Linked DNA regions of Drosophila melanogaster. The protein of the gene in region 1 purifies or fractionates together with the protein of each later gene. This does not show direct contact. Each region holds a gene or a part of one and is shown on either strand. Other genes may lie near its edges.

Region 1 (7,406 bases):
GCACCGGTGTGTACTGGCTGGACATCCAATCCTCCGGCTGATGCACGGGCCACATTGTGTTCTTGTCATGTCGCACGCTCAGCCAGTCTGCAAAACATGCATTTTTCAATTAGGACACAATCAGTTTTTCAAACACATTTGTGATGGGACACTTACTCAACTTAAAAAGGATATTGGCACCTGCCTGTGTGCCTGCGATAAGACCTAAGGCACTAAAACAGGTGGCCCTCACCGAATATACCTCGCATTTGGTCACCAGAACAATAAGCTTCTCGTATAGTCTACAAACAATAAATAACTTTGTAACATCTTGCATCTTTTGTGTATACTCTTTCAAATTCGTGGGACACGATTCGAAGTTATGTGATATGTATGTGACTTACCTGGCATTCAGTTCGACAAAGTATTCAATTCCATTGGAGTGGGTTGAGGCGTGGGCCAGTGCCCAAATGGCGGCCTTCAGTTCAAGGCACTCGGCATCGTCCGTGCATTTGGCGCGTCTGAGCAGTTCCAATAGCTGCGGCAGGTCTCCGTGCTTCCGCAGAGCTGTCATACCCTGGCCAGTCTGTGCCATTTGCCCGTACAGATGAGGTGCAACGTTTGGTGGTACAGTCTGTGGTCTCTGGTTGCAATTGCGACGCGAGTAGTAGCCATCCTCATTGCGGATGTGCAGCGTCAGGCTTGAGTGGGTGTCGGCTTCCACGAGGAGCACGTAGCGCTTGTTGTACCCATTCCGCCAGTAGCGGATCTCATCCTCGATTCGTGCCATCGTACTGTTCAGGCCGCGGGGCAGTGAATAATAGCGGGCCATCAGCAGCCGTCCTGCATCACCACGATGCGTTAGATTGGGCCACCGACTGACAATCTCCTCCAGGTAGTACTTGTCGTGGCAGGCCTCCTCCAGTACATCCATGGCTGCCAGCCCCACGCTACGGTCCGAATCCCGCGTCTGGTTGATAATCAATGGAATGCCCCATACCTCAAAGTGAGGCAGACGGGCACGCAGCAGCACTGCCATGAACTGGGTGGAGTACAGACGTCCGCGTGTCTTCGCCGACGTAAGCGCCTTTTCCAGCACCTGACGTGGTAGCTTCTCGTAGCTGTAGTTCAGGCCGGACACAATTAGCTTCACATAGCAGACGTGGTCCGTCACCCGCACCAAATTGATCAAGCTGAAATTAAGGAAATCTCGATTAGCGAAGGTCTTACTAGGTTTAGTTAATATTGAATGAGTTAACCCCTTCCGATTAGTCGATTCGTTTTGGTCTAACATCTTTAGATTCTTTAACCTAATTTGACAAGATTTAAGTCAAATTATGTACATATCACTCAGCACTCACTATTCAAATACGGTGGTATTTTTGAGTACTTCGATGCCTTTTACGGTTCGGCACATGCGTCCGATGTAGAGGAAATACTGCTGACACATCGTGTTATTCATATGCTGTGGACTAAATAGACAGTCGTGTGCACGATTCGATGTGGTGACGGCCGCCAGCTGTTGGCTGATGTCCGAAAAGTAGTCGGTTATAAAGCGCATACATTCAAGCTGCAAATTAACGAGTAACTTTAGGCTATTTTCACTAATTAGGCCATCATTAAGAGAATCTACCTCATTGCTGGACAGGAGGACGTCAATTAAATCCAATCCGGCACTGACATATGTAGGCAGCCTCTGTCCAGGCACCAAATCCTGGTGAGAGAACCGATTATTGCGCGGCTTGTAGAAGTCCACGAGTCGCTTCAGGAACTTTCCTTGGGTGTAGTCCAGTTTGCGGATTAAATTCGACTGCAAATGTTAAGATGAGAATCGTTTATAAACTGGAGATACCATAATATTTTCTGATTTAGTTTACCTTCAGTATGGTGGTAATAACATCCCAGTCCCAAAGATGCGCGTCCGCTTGGCTCAGCACACGGGAGTCTGTCAGCAGCCGATTGAAGGCTCGGAAGTTATCATATAAGGCTTGCGGAAGGAACTTACGCTTCAGTCGAAAACTGGACCTCGACGAGGTCGAAGCCTGTGAGTTGGACTCGTCGCTGGAGGAGACAGAATCCAGCCGAGAACGATCGAGGGTGCCGCGAAACTGAGTGACAGGCGGTACCGCAAATGCCGCCGCCTCCGCCGTTTCCTGCAACTGTAGCACAGGACCCGCTTGCTCCTGCACGTTGAGGTGCCGACGAAACAGTCGCGTCTGGATGAGAGCACCGCCCTGGATAATGCTGTCTAGGAATAAGCTGCGCGACGCCGGCCGCTGGCGCAGCAACTTCTGGTAGTTTTGCAGAGCGGCCACCGCTGCATTGGCCTGCTGGTTCCCCAATGTGGCATGACTCACCAGCGTGGGCAGTGCCGGACTCGTACAGCAAATATCCGGGGGCAGGTGGGTGTGCATTAGCTGCAGGATCTTGCCAATCAGCACCGTAGCCTGTACCGAGACGAACTGATCGCTGCTCACCACAACCTCGACGAGCGCATTGAGCAGTCCAGTCTCGAGGAAACAGTACAGCATCAGCGCCAGGTGCTGCTCTACTACGCTCGGTGCACGCGCCGCCAGCGTTGGCAAAATGGAGCGCCCTTCGGCGGACACGAAACCATTGCTCAGCAGCCACGTGTCCTGGAAGTCCGACGGATCCACAGCCTGCAACGCCACCGCATAGTCATCCGTCCAGGTTGGCTGCGGCAGCGTGAGCAGCTCGTACAGCAAATCCAATATTGCTTTCTGTTCAAATTGCATGTTCAGTAAGTTCAGATCGATACTAAGAGGGGAATGTACTCACTCTGACTTCGATCTGGTTCAAATACAGAGCGTCGACTATTGCTTTCAGGCCTGAGGGTTTGCTAGGATCACAGAATTCGAGGGTGCCCGTCCAGCTGCGCAGCACAGACAGCAGTGCCAGCCGACAGCTGGTGTAGCGAAGTTCGCGCGCATCCCTGAAAGATAGTTTTATTTATAAAAGAATGATGTAACTGATAGCGCTTATCTACAACTTGTAGTAGTACATCTTGTGAAAAAACTTCAGTAGATGTTTGTGGGATAGTCTTGTTCGATTTTCCAAAAGTGTTTCGCCCGATTTAACTACTCATTTAGAGCATGAAACGAGGTCAATGGCCGTGCTGCCTTTAGTTATCTATTTTAGAATTTCATGTTTGCATCCGCTGTTTGATAATCTCAAAAGACGGCGTGATGTTCATCGATTATTTGGTTACAATTCAACAGCAGATATAATTACTCTACATTAAATTACTTTCGGCGAATTAATGAGTGAAGTGGATCCGTCTTACATCTGGCTTGATAAACTGCTTTTTGTTTTGGGTAACCCATTTGTAGTATTCTGCAGCCAAGCTGCAGTATTCAAGGAGGGATTGGTGGGATCTTCACTAGGGCACTCACTTGTTCTTATCGACGATACTCTGCCGGTAGGTGAAATCGCAATAAGGAGCTGCCAGGCAGTCCAGCCGCACACCGCAGATGTTCCTCGTTTGCGGCCACTCGAGCAGGTACAGAAGCACGCCGCACAGGCTCTCAGCGATGCGGGGATTGTGGCACTCTAGCACATTGCGGGTTATGGAGGTGACGCCGCCGCAGACGATCAGCAGCGCCGGATTGAGCACAGCGAACTCTGCCAGGGTGGCCAGGCAGGCACGCAACAGATTGTCGTTCTCCTCGATGCCGCTATCCGCCAGCGAGACCAGGCAGCGCACCACCGCCGGACTGATGTCCTCCGGCGCGATGGCCAGCATCTTGCGGACCAGCTTCAGTGCCTGGACGCGCTCGTCGTCGTTCTTCAGCATTAGATCGATGGAGCGGCAGAGCAGGTGCTGCAGCTGCAGTGCATTGAACGTCTTGATGTCATTGGGCGTGCTAATGGCATACCGGATCGTTCGCAGTGCCGCCGCTCGCACTTGGGTGAAGGTGTGCACCAGTGAGGCACTAAGGCTGCAATTAAGGGCGATCAATTAGCCATGTTAAGAACAATGGTTTCCCCAACGGGCATCTTACCAGTAGAGCAGCTCCTCGGTGGTGAAGCGTATATTGCTGTGGTGGGAGCCCTTTCGGGCCCCCAAACAGAGCGAGGCCAGCGCGTTGAGCAGAAACAGGCGCTTCGTGTCCCGCGTCTCCTCCAAACAGAGCATCGAGTATATTTCGAATGCATTTTCGGCGGCCGATCGCTGTGGATCCAGGCGGTAGAAGTCCTCCGGATCCTGCGAAACTGTAATGGAGGAAAAGTTTCATTGCTTTTCTTATCAGATCCGTACACACTAATTACTAATTAAAACAACCTTTTATGAATGAATAATATGGCCACATCGATGTACTTGAATATTACATAAATATTATTTGCAAGTAATAGCTTTTTCGGATATGCACATGTTCAAATCATCATAGTACATGGGGTTTTTACGGTCAAGAGGAGGTGCACACATGCATGCACACAGCGACTTGCATTAGAAAGCCATCAAAGTGAAATTGATCGTGGATCGTGGAAAGCTAATCAGCTCAGCCGCTGCCTCTGTCTCTGCCGACGCTGACGCAGGCTGTGCACGTGAAATGACAACAACACAGCGTCATAACAGTTTCGTTGTTGTTGCAGTTGTCGTCGTTACAGCTAACTGTACTTGCATGATGGATTTGGTTGGAAAAGGGGGAGAGCGACAGAGAGAGAGAGAGAGAGAAAGGAGAGAGCATGACGAGCGAAGAAGAACGAAAGAGTGAAGGACACGATGAATGGAAGAAACCAAGCTGAGCATTTCGTATGTTATTGTTTTTGTAGTTCTAGTAGTGGCTGTTGTTATTGTTGTTGTTTCTGCTGTTGCTATCGCTGTTATTGTTATGGTCGATGTTTAGTGAATGTCTATGTTGTTGCTTGTGCTGCGTCATCGTTTTTGGGGGCTCTCTCTATGCTGTGGCGACCGTTCTATAAATAATCGGCCAACATGTAGTCGAAGAATTTGGTCAAATGGCAACAGCAACAACAACAAAAGTAACCAAAATAAAACCAAAAAATACATAAATAAAAATAAAAACTAAATAGAAAATAGAAACGAGAACAACAACAAATGTATAAATAACGGAGGAAACACTGAGGAGATCAGGAGAAATGTTGATCAGAATGCCATGCTGTCGATACATGCGTACATCACTGTTGCATCGCTGCTACATCGTTACCGTTATGGGCAATGCTGCCAGTGTGCTCATTCCCGCCCCCCTCAACAACATATTATTGTTGTTGCTAGTTGCCATCAATGTCAACAAAAAAAAGAACCCTTTGCTACCAATTATTGGCCAAGTCCAATAAACAGAAGGCTGCTGGAGGGGTAGGTGGGGTTGGGGATGAGGTCGGCTCAAGATCCACAACAACAACAACAACAACAACAGCTGCTGCTGTAATGCTTATGCCTCGCCGTAATGCAAAATAATGCAAACTGAATGGAATGGCGGGGGTCGGTGGGGCGAGCCATGTGAGACAAAACGTCGAACGGAGTGATTGCGCCATTATGCCGATGCCACCGTCGCCGTGTTTGATGTCAATTAGCACATTCGTTACATTACCTTTGATGCGTAATTGTAATTTGCTCCGCTTGCCAAAACGCCAACTGGAATGTTGGGAGGCCATCGCGTTGCTTCGCCTCTTTTTCGATTCGCCGATGGGGGCGTGGCGAGGCGGGTGCGGCGCCGTCGCCCGCTCGCCTATTAGCTGTATGTCGAACACACACCCACACACCACAACACACAGATCACACTTAAATATATTGCTTTTCAATTTCACTTGCTGCACAATTTACATTTTTTTTATTGCTCGCCGCTTTAAAGTGACCGTCGTCGGCGCAGGAGAAAAAACCAACTACGAAGCGCCACCGCGGGCACGAGAATTTGGAATATTTACGCGACTTTCAATGAAAAACATTTCATTTTACACTTACATCTTACATTTACATTTGACATACAATTTTGCTTGCTTACTTCCTCTGAAAGGCTAGTGTCTGTAATATAATGAATTTCTTGTGCACTAATTATAAAAATTGAACGGAAATATTCAAAATATTACCTGAGAAATTCGAGGACAGCTGAATTACCCCCAGATAGGAATTCTCCTTATCGTAGAACTATTTTATATGATTATAAATTACGAAATTAAAACAAATACTGTAAGGGAAAATTTACTTAATATTCTTCTGCAAGATTATTTGGTGACTTTTTTTTTGGAGTCAATATATGTCATGTGTATTTACTCTACTTACTAATTTACATCAACTTGTTATATTAAAGCATACCGAGGTGCACAATTAATTTTCGTCACAAAGTAACAATGCTATTAACATATCGTAAATACCACACATGCAGTTGGTATTTTCGAAGGAGCCGCAAGCGGTTACACGGCCGCCCAGACTGTTATCGAAGTCGAGTATGCTCTTCCTCTTCGATAAACGCAATATTTTGCAATAAAGTAAATTAGTTTTAAAACCACAGTGGCGAGCACTTTCTGAGCAACTCGGCAGCCGCAAGCACTGTTCGCGCGTATCCGGTGCACAGGGTGAGCCCTTCGCGAACGCGATACACCCCACTACGCTCGAATTGTCCCGAAATCGTTGTTTTTGTTGTGTGTGGTGTTGGCTAGTGTTGTGCTCTTCATTGCCTTCCGTTTTTGCTCTGTGTATCTGTGCTCGGGTTCACCAATCCAATCGCAACGGCCAACTGATGAGTCTCAATTGTGTCCATTAACGCGACGCGAGTAGCACCCACCCACCCTCCTCCTCCCCCCTCCAACACTTGCCAGTTGGGCCCGCGCCCCACTTCACACCATCACCGCCAACGCCAGCGCCCCACCCGCAACCCCTCCTCCAAATCCGAAACGAAAACCAAATCCCAATCCATATAGTAATACCCAACCCAACCACTGCGAGATGGCCAGCAGCAGTAGCAGCAACAGTTTTGGGGGCGTGGCCGGCGTGAACGGGGATCTGTGGCGCGAGTGCGTCGCCTGGCTGACCAGGTGCAAGGTCATTCCGCCCGACCACAAGGCCGCCCAGCCGGACGCCGAGATCCGCATCCTGGCGATGACGCTGCGCGACGGCGTGCTGCTCTGCAACCTGGTCATCCACCTGGACCCCAGCAGCTTGGATCCGCGCGAGTTCAATCGCAAGCCGCAAATGGCACAGGTGAGTGAAATGCGAGAAGCAAGTGACTTTGCTGGCAAATTGTGAATGGGTGGCACACTCTAAACCTTGTAAACAAGCAACACTGAGAGAAATAGGGGGAAGTATATCTGTAAAAATAATTTAAATCATTAAAACAAACATCACTTACAATTAGTGACAATAATTGGCCAAAACATCATAAATTCATAAAGAAATAGAATATGCCAAATTTATGCACGAATTTGCATGTGTGAATAAATAAATAATA
Region 2 (5,781 bases), on another chromosome or scaffold:
TGGTCACGCCAACAGCATCATCATCGCCATCAGACGAACGGCCTCAAATGTCGCGCATTTTGGCGTGATTTCGAGTCACTAACCTTGGCCTTAGAACGCGCTGCTGCAATCGCTTGGTTAGCCGACGCTGCAGATGCATATGCATGCAACGATCGTCTAACGGCAGTTAGCCATTATTCTCGACTACTCCACAGCTGTTAGCAGGCGACCTAGGCGCCCAACCCAGTCATCGCTGGCATTGCAAAACTAAAAATAAACAGCCAGACCGAAAACAATATGTGCAGTAATACGACTAACCGTTGGATCCGTCCCCGTCTGGTTGTCTGTGCGATTAATTGCACATTGATTACAGACAATTGCAGTGGGTAGAGTGAGAAAAACGGAAATGAAAACCAGATATACTGCTAAAAACGCGGCCAAATCGCGCGTGAATCGCTTCAAAACCGCAATGTAAACGCCAGCGGCAAGGCGGAAGCAAAAATGTAGAGATTACCGATTTTAAGTGTAAATTTTGCAATTTTATTTTCAGGACCAGGCTTCGTAGTTGGGTGAGTTCAATAAATACTTACAGGCTAGGCAAACATGTGTAACACAATCTTTAGTTAGCAACTAATACAACTTATCGAACAGGAGGCGGAGGCGGAGGCGGAGAAGTAGGCGGGGACGTTGCAGCGGCAGTGACAGTTGCCCGCCTGCTAGGCAAACGAGCGACAGCCGCTGCCATAGGAATAAATACTACAACTTCAGCTGCCTCTTCTCCTGCTTCCGATCGCGCTGCAAAAGGAACTCGCGCCTCAGATCGCTGGATCGCATCTCTAGTATGCAGTTCAGCTTGTTGTGGATCTGCTCCGCCGTGTGGGTGTCCGTATCGAAGTCGTAGTGCTTAAAGCGAATATTGCTGCTTGAAAAGAGTCCGGAAGAGTGACCCGGACTGCTGGGCGAGTGGGCAATCCCACCACTGCCGCTTCCCGCATTCAGTGTGGTTACGCTGGCGTTGATCGGCGCCGAAGTGCAGCCCGTGGAGAAGGAAGGGGACGAGGAGTTTGACTTCAGCCAGATGCGCAACAGAGCCTTCAGGTGGCGTCGCTCCAAAATCTCGCAGTGAGCAACAAAGTCAATGGGAGTGGATACGGGCTTCTTCTGCGGCCAGAACTTGGCATTCTTGCACTGATCGATCTCTATTCTCTCACCAGATATTCCCAGAGTCACATCGGATTTGAAGAACCTCTTGTCGATGATGTTGAGGCGGAAAGTACGATGCATGGGTGCTTCCAGCATATCGTTGTGATTCAACAATCGCTTCTCATACTCCTTGACATTATCGTGTGGACTATCGCCTCCTCCACCTCCTCCACCCGGATCACTAGTTCCTCCATTTAGGCTAATATTTTGCAGAGCCTTGACAGCCGCATCGGACAGAGCTGTCTTGTCTTCCACGGAAGTCATGGATTTACTGCCCAGCTGGCTGTGGTAATCAACTCGCGTCACTGGAGCCAATGGCCGACGCTCTGCGAGGGTCAGTTGGGAGAAGCCAAACTTAGAGCAGGGTTCGCGATTGTCCAACGGTGGGAAGTCTTCCATATCATCATTATCCTCTGTCATATACAAAGCGTAATGCTGCAGGGACTTCAAAGGAACGTCGGGATATTGTAAGGAGGTCCTGTAGCAGACAAAACCAATTACCTCCTGGATTTTGGCAGTGGCTACGACGCAGATCTTCAACGGGTAGTTGCGATCCGGCTCGGGAAGCATATTTAAAAACACGTTTATCCGTTTCGTTTGCATACCCACTTGGGAGGTGCCATCGAAGCGGGCGAATTCAATGAAGCGATTCTGTGCTTGCTTTGGACTTTTGGCCAACTGTTCAGTGAGCTGGCTCTGAACACCCTCATCTGACAGATCATCGTCGTTGGCTTTCGGTTCATTTTTAACTCGCTCAGCTTTGCTGAGGGGCAACTCTTTGCGTTTAAAGAAATCATCGCTCTCCGGTGGCTGCACTTCCTCCTGGTAGTTAACACTCTTGATGCGCGCCGCCCTTCGCTTGGCAATATCCAGTTTCTCTAGTTTTTGGGCAGTGTTGGAGCGAAAGCGGTGGGCGCCCACCTCCGGATACATTTGGATGTCAAAGGAGTGCGTGGACATGTCCTCCTCGTCGTCGCTGAGGTCCAGTCCCGGATAGCAGATGAAGTCCACTTCCTGGAGTGGCGCATCCGGATGCCGGGTGTTCCGCTCCGGTGTTGTCCCGCCCCCCGTCGGCGGTGTCTTGTGCGCCCGTCGCCAATGATAGTGATCTCCTCCAGCGCCCGAGTTACCGAATTTTCGCAAATAGTGTTTGGGCATGTCATCGCTCAGCATCACCGTCTCGCACATTCCGGTGTCGTCCGTGGATATGAAGGAGTTGCGGATGTGGGAGAGCAGCCAATGCTGGTTGGAGTAGGTCGCCATGGTAGTAAACAAAAGAAAATCTCTTTTTCAAAATTAATTTCTATTTATCTCAGCATCTCGGAAAAATGCACTAACGCCTTTGGATTATCTAGAGATGGAACATTGCGGTTGTTACTGGTCACTTTTTGGTGGTGGTAACGAATAGCACGCACAAGTCACCGTTCCCAACAGAACATAAGAGGAATACCTACTACATGAATATACTTAAATTATGCAATTAAGATAAAGGTTATACCAAGTACTTATTATCAAAGTAATATTTTGAATTTACATGCAAGTCTAGTTGTAGCGGTACTCGTTAAATCTGGTCTTTTTTCATTCAACGCAAACGGTCACTCTAGGCCACCATATGACTTTTTTCTGGACGCGAAAAATTGCCGAGTTACAGAATAAGTTAATTATAGTGAGTTTATCGTCGCCTGACCTGCCGTTTTTCGATGTCCACTTCTTGAGAACTCCCAATCGGATAGAGTCGATGTGCTAGCCAACGGCGAAATGGCGGGCATGGAGGTAGAATTCGACGAGACGGTGGCCAATCAGTTCAGCTGCAAGCGCTGCGACCGAGTAAGTGTGTGGGAAATGTCTCCTATTACCTCAATCTAACCACTATCCATTGATGCAGACCTTCAGAAGCAAGCGGGATCAGACGTTGCATCGACAAGAGGTGCACAACCACAACAAGACCACCTACGAGTGCAAGCTGTGCGCGAAGAGCTTCTGCAATTCGGGGAACCTGGATCGTCACATGAAGGTGCACAACGATGTGCGGCCTTTCGTGTGTAACATTTGCTCGAAGGCCTTCGCCCAGGCTGTGAACCTGCAGCGCCACTATGCGGTGCACAGCGGGGAGCGGCCATTCACCTGTAACTTCTGCAACAAGTCCTTCACCCAGCAGAGCAACATGAAGCGCCACAAGATGACACACACTGGCGAGAAGCCGTTCCGCTGCCAGCGATGCGGCAGGTACTTCTCCCAGCTGGTTAACCTCAAGAAACACAAGCTTGGCCACCTCAACGCCAAGCCCTACCAGTGTAATTACTGCGAGAAGGGCTTCACCCAGCTGTCAAACTTTAAGCGCCACTTGCAGTCGCACATAAAGGAGGGCGTCGATGTGGACGTGCCCGCCTCTATCCAGGCGGCTGCCGCCCTGGCCAGGGAACGGCTTGAGTCGGAGCAGAAACCGTGAGTACTTGCCGGCTGTAGAAGATCAAGGTGCCCTTTGATTAGTTCAACCTGTTCAGACCTACCTTAAGTTGCCTATTCGACACCGATTATCGACGGGTCATGATTAGATTCGGTGCTGATTAGTGTGCTTAACTGTGCTCATTTCCCTTTTATGAACAATTAATACTATATGCATTTTTGAAGGTGTACACGTTCCCAATCAATACTTTTATATATTAATTGACTAGCCTCAAAACTATCCTTGATCCTTCTACATTTGCTTGTTGTGAATTTTATTATTGAATTAAAACATTTCATTTTCAGAAGCTTTTTCGAATGCATGGTGTGTCGGGCCATCTTTGATACCTTCGCTGACTATGAGAAGCACGAAGCCAAGTGCCATGAGGACCACGAAAGGGCCCAGCTGGAGGTTAACCAGATGTCCCACATGCATCCAGACGACTATTTGCCCATGAAGTTTGCCGTGCCCGATCTGGATACGCACGAAATCATAATTGAGACTACACATTAGAAATGGCAATAATTTTAAATGAAATACCACGAAAACACACAACCCAACTCACACCTAAACATACAAATAGCGGCGATTCCGACGGAAAGATGGAATGTGAAGAATATTGCATTGAATATACAGATATGAATATATATGCAGGCCAACATAGTTCTCCATTGAATTACACCAATAAATGCAATAAATATGCAGATAACCAATGCGAATCCTTCGCTATCCCTGTTGCTAATCGATCCGATCTCTGTTGACATTGTTGCGTGAATCAGGCTAACCCGTCGATTTACGGACCCTAAAGACGTTTTAACTGCACCCTTTATGATGTGCCATTTTATGAGCATATGTATGATATTCGCTGGATTTTCCCGAGTCACATCATCAATTCTCTCGTTCGCAAGTCCCAAAACCTCACAGTGCGTAAATTGTCGCTTTAATGACACATTTCGCACAGCCGTAAAACTGTCCCTTTTCCAGCTTGTCAGGCCAACATTCTTGCGTCATTAATGTGACAAATATGTTTGCCCAAATAGTCACGTTACCACTCACTGTTGTTCGTTAAGTTCGAAGAAGAAAGGTAAAGGAATCGCCCGATGGGTCTATAATTTATACATGTGATTTCTCGACTATTTGATTGAAACTAATTAAAGGCACGTTCCTGACTTGTTTACCCGCCAGCAGTCATGGAGCAATAATTGATCGCACAGTCCTTGCTATCAGCATCCACCGCTCGCTCTGACCATGTCCTTGTGGCCTTCGCAGTCATCGTTTTTGCGGCACTAAATCAAACTATTTATACATCTGACTCCCCGGACTACTCACACTTCCGCTCGCACAGGGAAATAATATTTCATGTCCACATCGTCGTCCTGCCACATTTTCTGGCTGTGCATGTGTGCGCCTGGTTCAATTGGCATGCGGCTGCTTAAATGGTCACTGCTTGGGGCCTCGGACTAATAGGTTCACATTTATTAAGCTGCCCAATGTCATTTGTTATAAATTTATTATGGTAAATGTCCTGCTCCTGATCTCAGCTCATAAGTTTAAGCAGTCATGTGAAGATGGCAAGAAACTGCAGCTAATTTATAGGATGCTGATCTCATCGGAGTTGATAAGTTAATTTAATTAAATTTATTTAAATAGTAGGGGAATGCAGCGTATTCTGTTTAAATTTGAAAACTATTCCTTAATTGATTATTTAATTTTTTGTGTAAGCATTATCCTTTTTGAACTTAGTAACAAAGTACATATATATCTCTTCTTAAACAGAAATATGTAAAACCGCGATTCCGTTTCAGTTTCTATTGTAAAAAATCCTTGCTGCAGATTTAGGGGTTGTGTTTTCAATGAAATCAATAGCTTGTTCTGCCCCGCCCCTTTTTAGGTCGCCGTTTGGGGAATTTAATTTTGTGTGTGTGCGCTTTTTTATACAGTTCAAATATTTGCACGCTGAGATTGTGTGGCAATAACGCTCCGTTTCCCGGCCAACACTTGCCGCCCTTTTTTTTTTGTGTTGGCCAATTGTTTGCTCGGCAGTGCACAGCATGCAAATAATCACCGTCGAATCACAGTGTGCTCAAACATTTGGGGGCGTGGCAGTTATGACGTCAGCCACGGTTAATGAGTCCTCGGTTCCCTTATTTCCT

Evidence for each region. Proteins that work in one complex are often made in the same cells at the same time.
Region 2: the proteins of rictor (region 1) and Sin1 purify together in Drosophila melanogaster (affinity purification with mass spectrometry; 2 studies listed by BioGRID). This does not show direct contact.

Annotation. Positions count from the first base shown.
Region 1 is NC_004354.4:19,255,435-19,262,840, forward strand, and holds the start of rictor (rapamycin-insensitive companion of Tor), read right to left. Parts: upstream 5,807-7,406; 5' UTR 5,617-5,806; coding exon 5,553-5,616; intron 4,410-5,552; exon of another isoform or gene 4,311-4,409; coding exon of another isoform or gene 4,283-4,310; intron 4,213-4,282; coding exon 4,002-4,212; intron 3,939-4,001; coding exon 3,393-3,938; intron 2,933-3,392; coding exon 2,779-2,932; intron 2,721-2,778; coding exon 1,857-2,720; intron 1,790-1,856; coding exon 1,613-1,789; intron 1,550-1,612; coding exon 1,341-1,549; intron 1,173-1,340; coding exon 384-1,172; intron 282-383; coding exon 157-281; intron 88-156; coding exon 1-87. Other genes in the region: Vav guanine nucleotide exchange factor, read left to right, coding at 6,905-7,159.
Region 2 is NT_033778.4:14,408,571-14,414,351, reverse strand, and holds Sin1 (SAPK-interacting protein 1), read right to left. Parts: upstream 2,528-5,781; 5' UTR 2,446-2,527; coding exon 736-2,445; 3' UTR 501-735; downstream 1-500. Other genes in the region: CG17385 (uncharacterized protein), read left to right, coding at 2,941-3,009, 3,068-3,627, 3,934-4,141. UniProt on the Drosophila melanogaster protein: Component of the target of rapamycin complex 2 (TORC2), which transduces signals from growth factors to pathways involved in proliferation, cytoskeletal organization and anabolic output.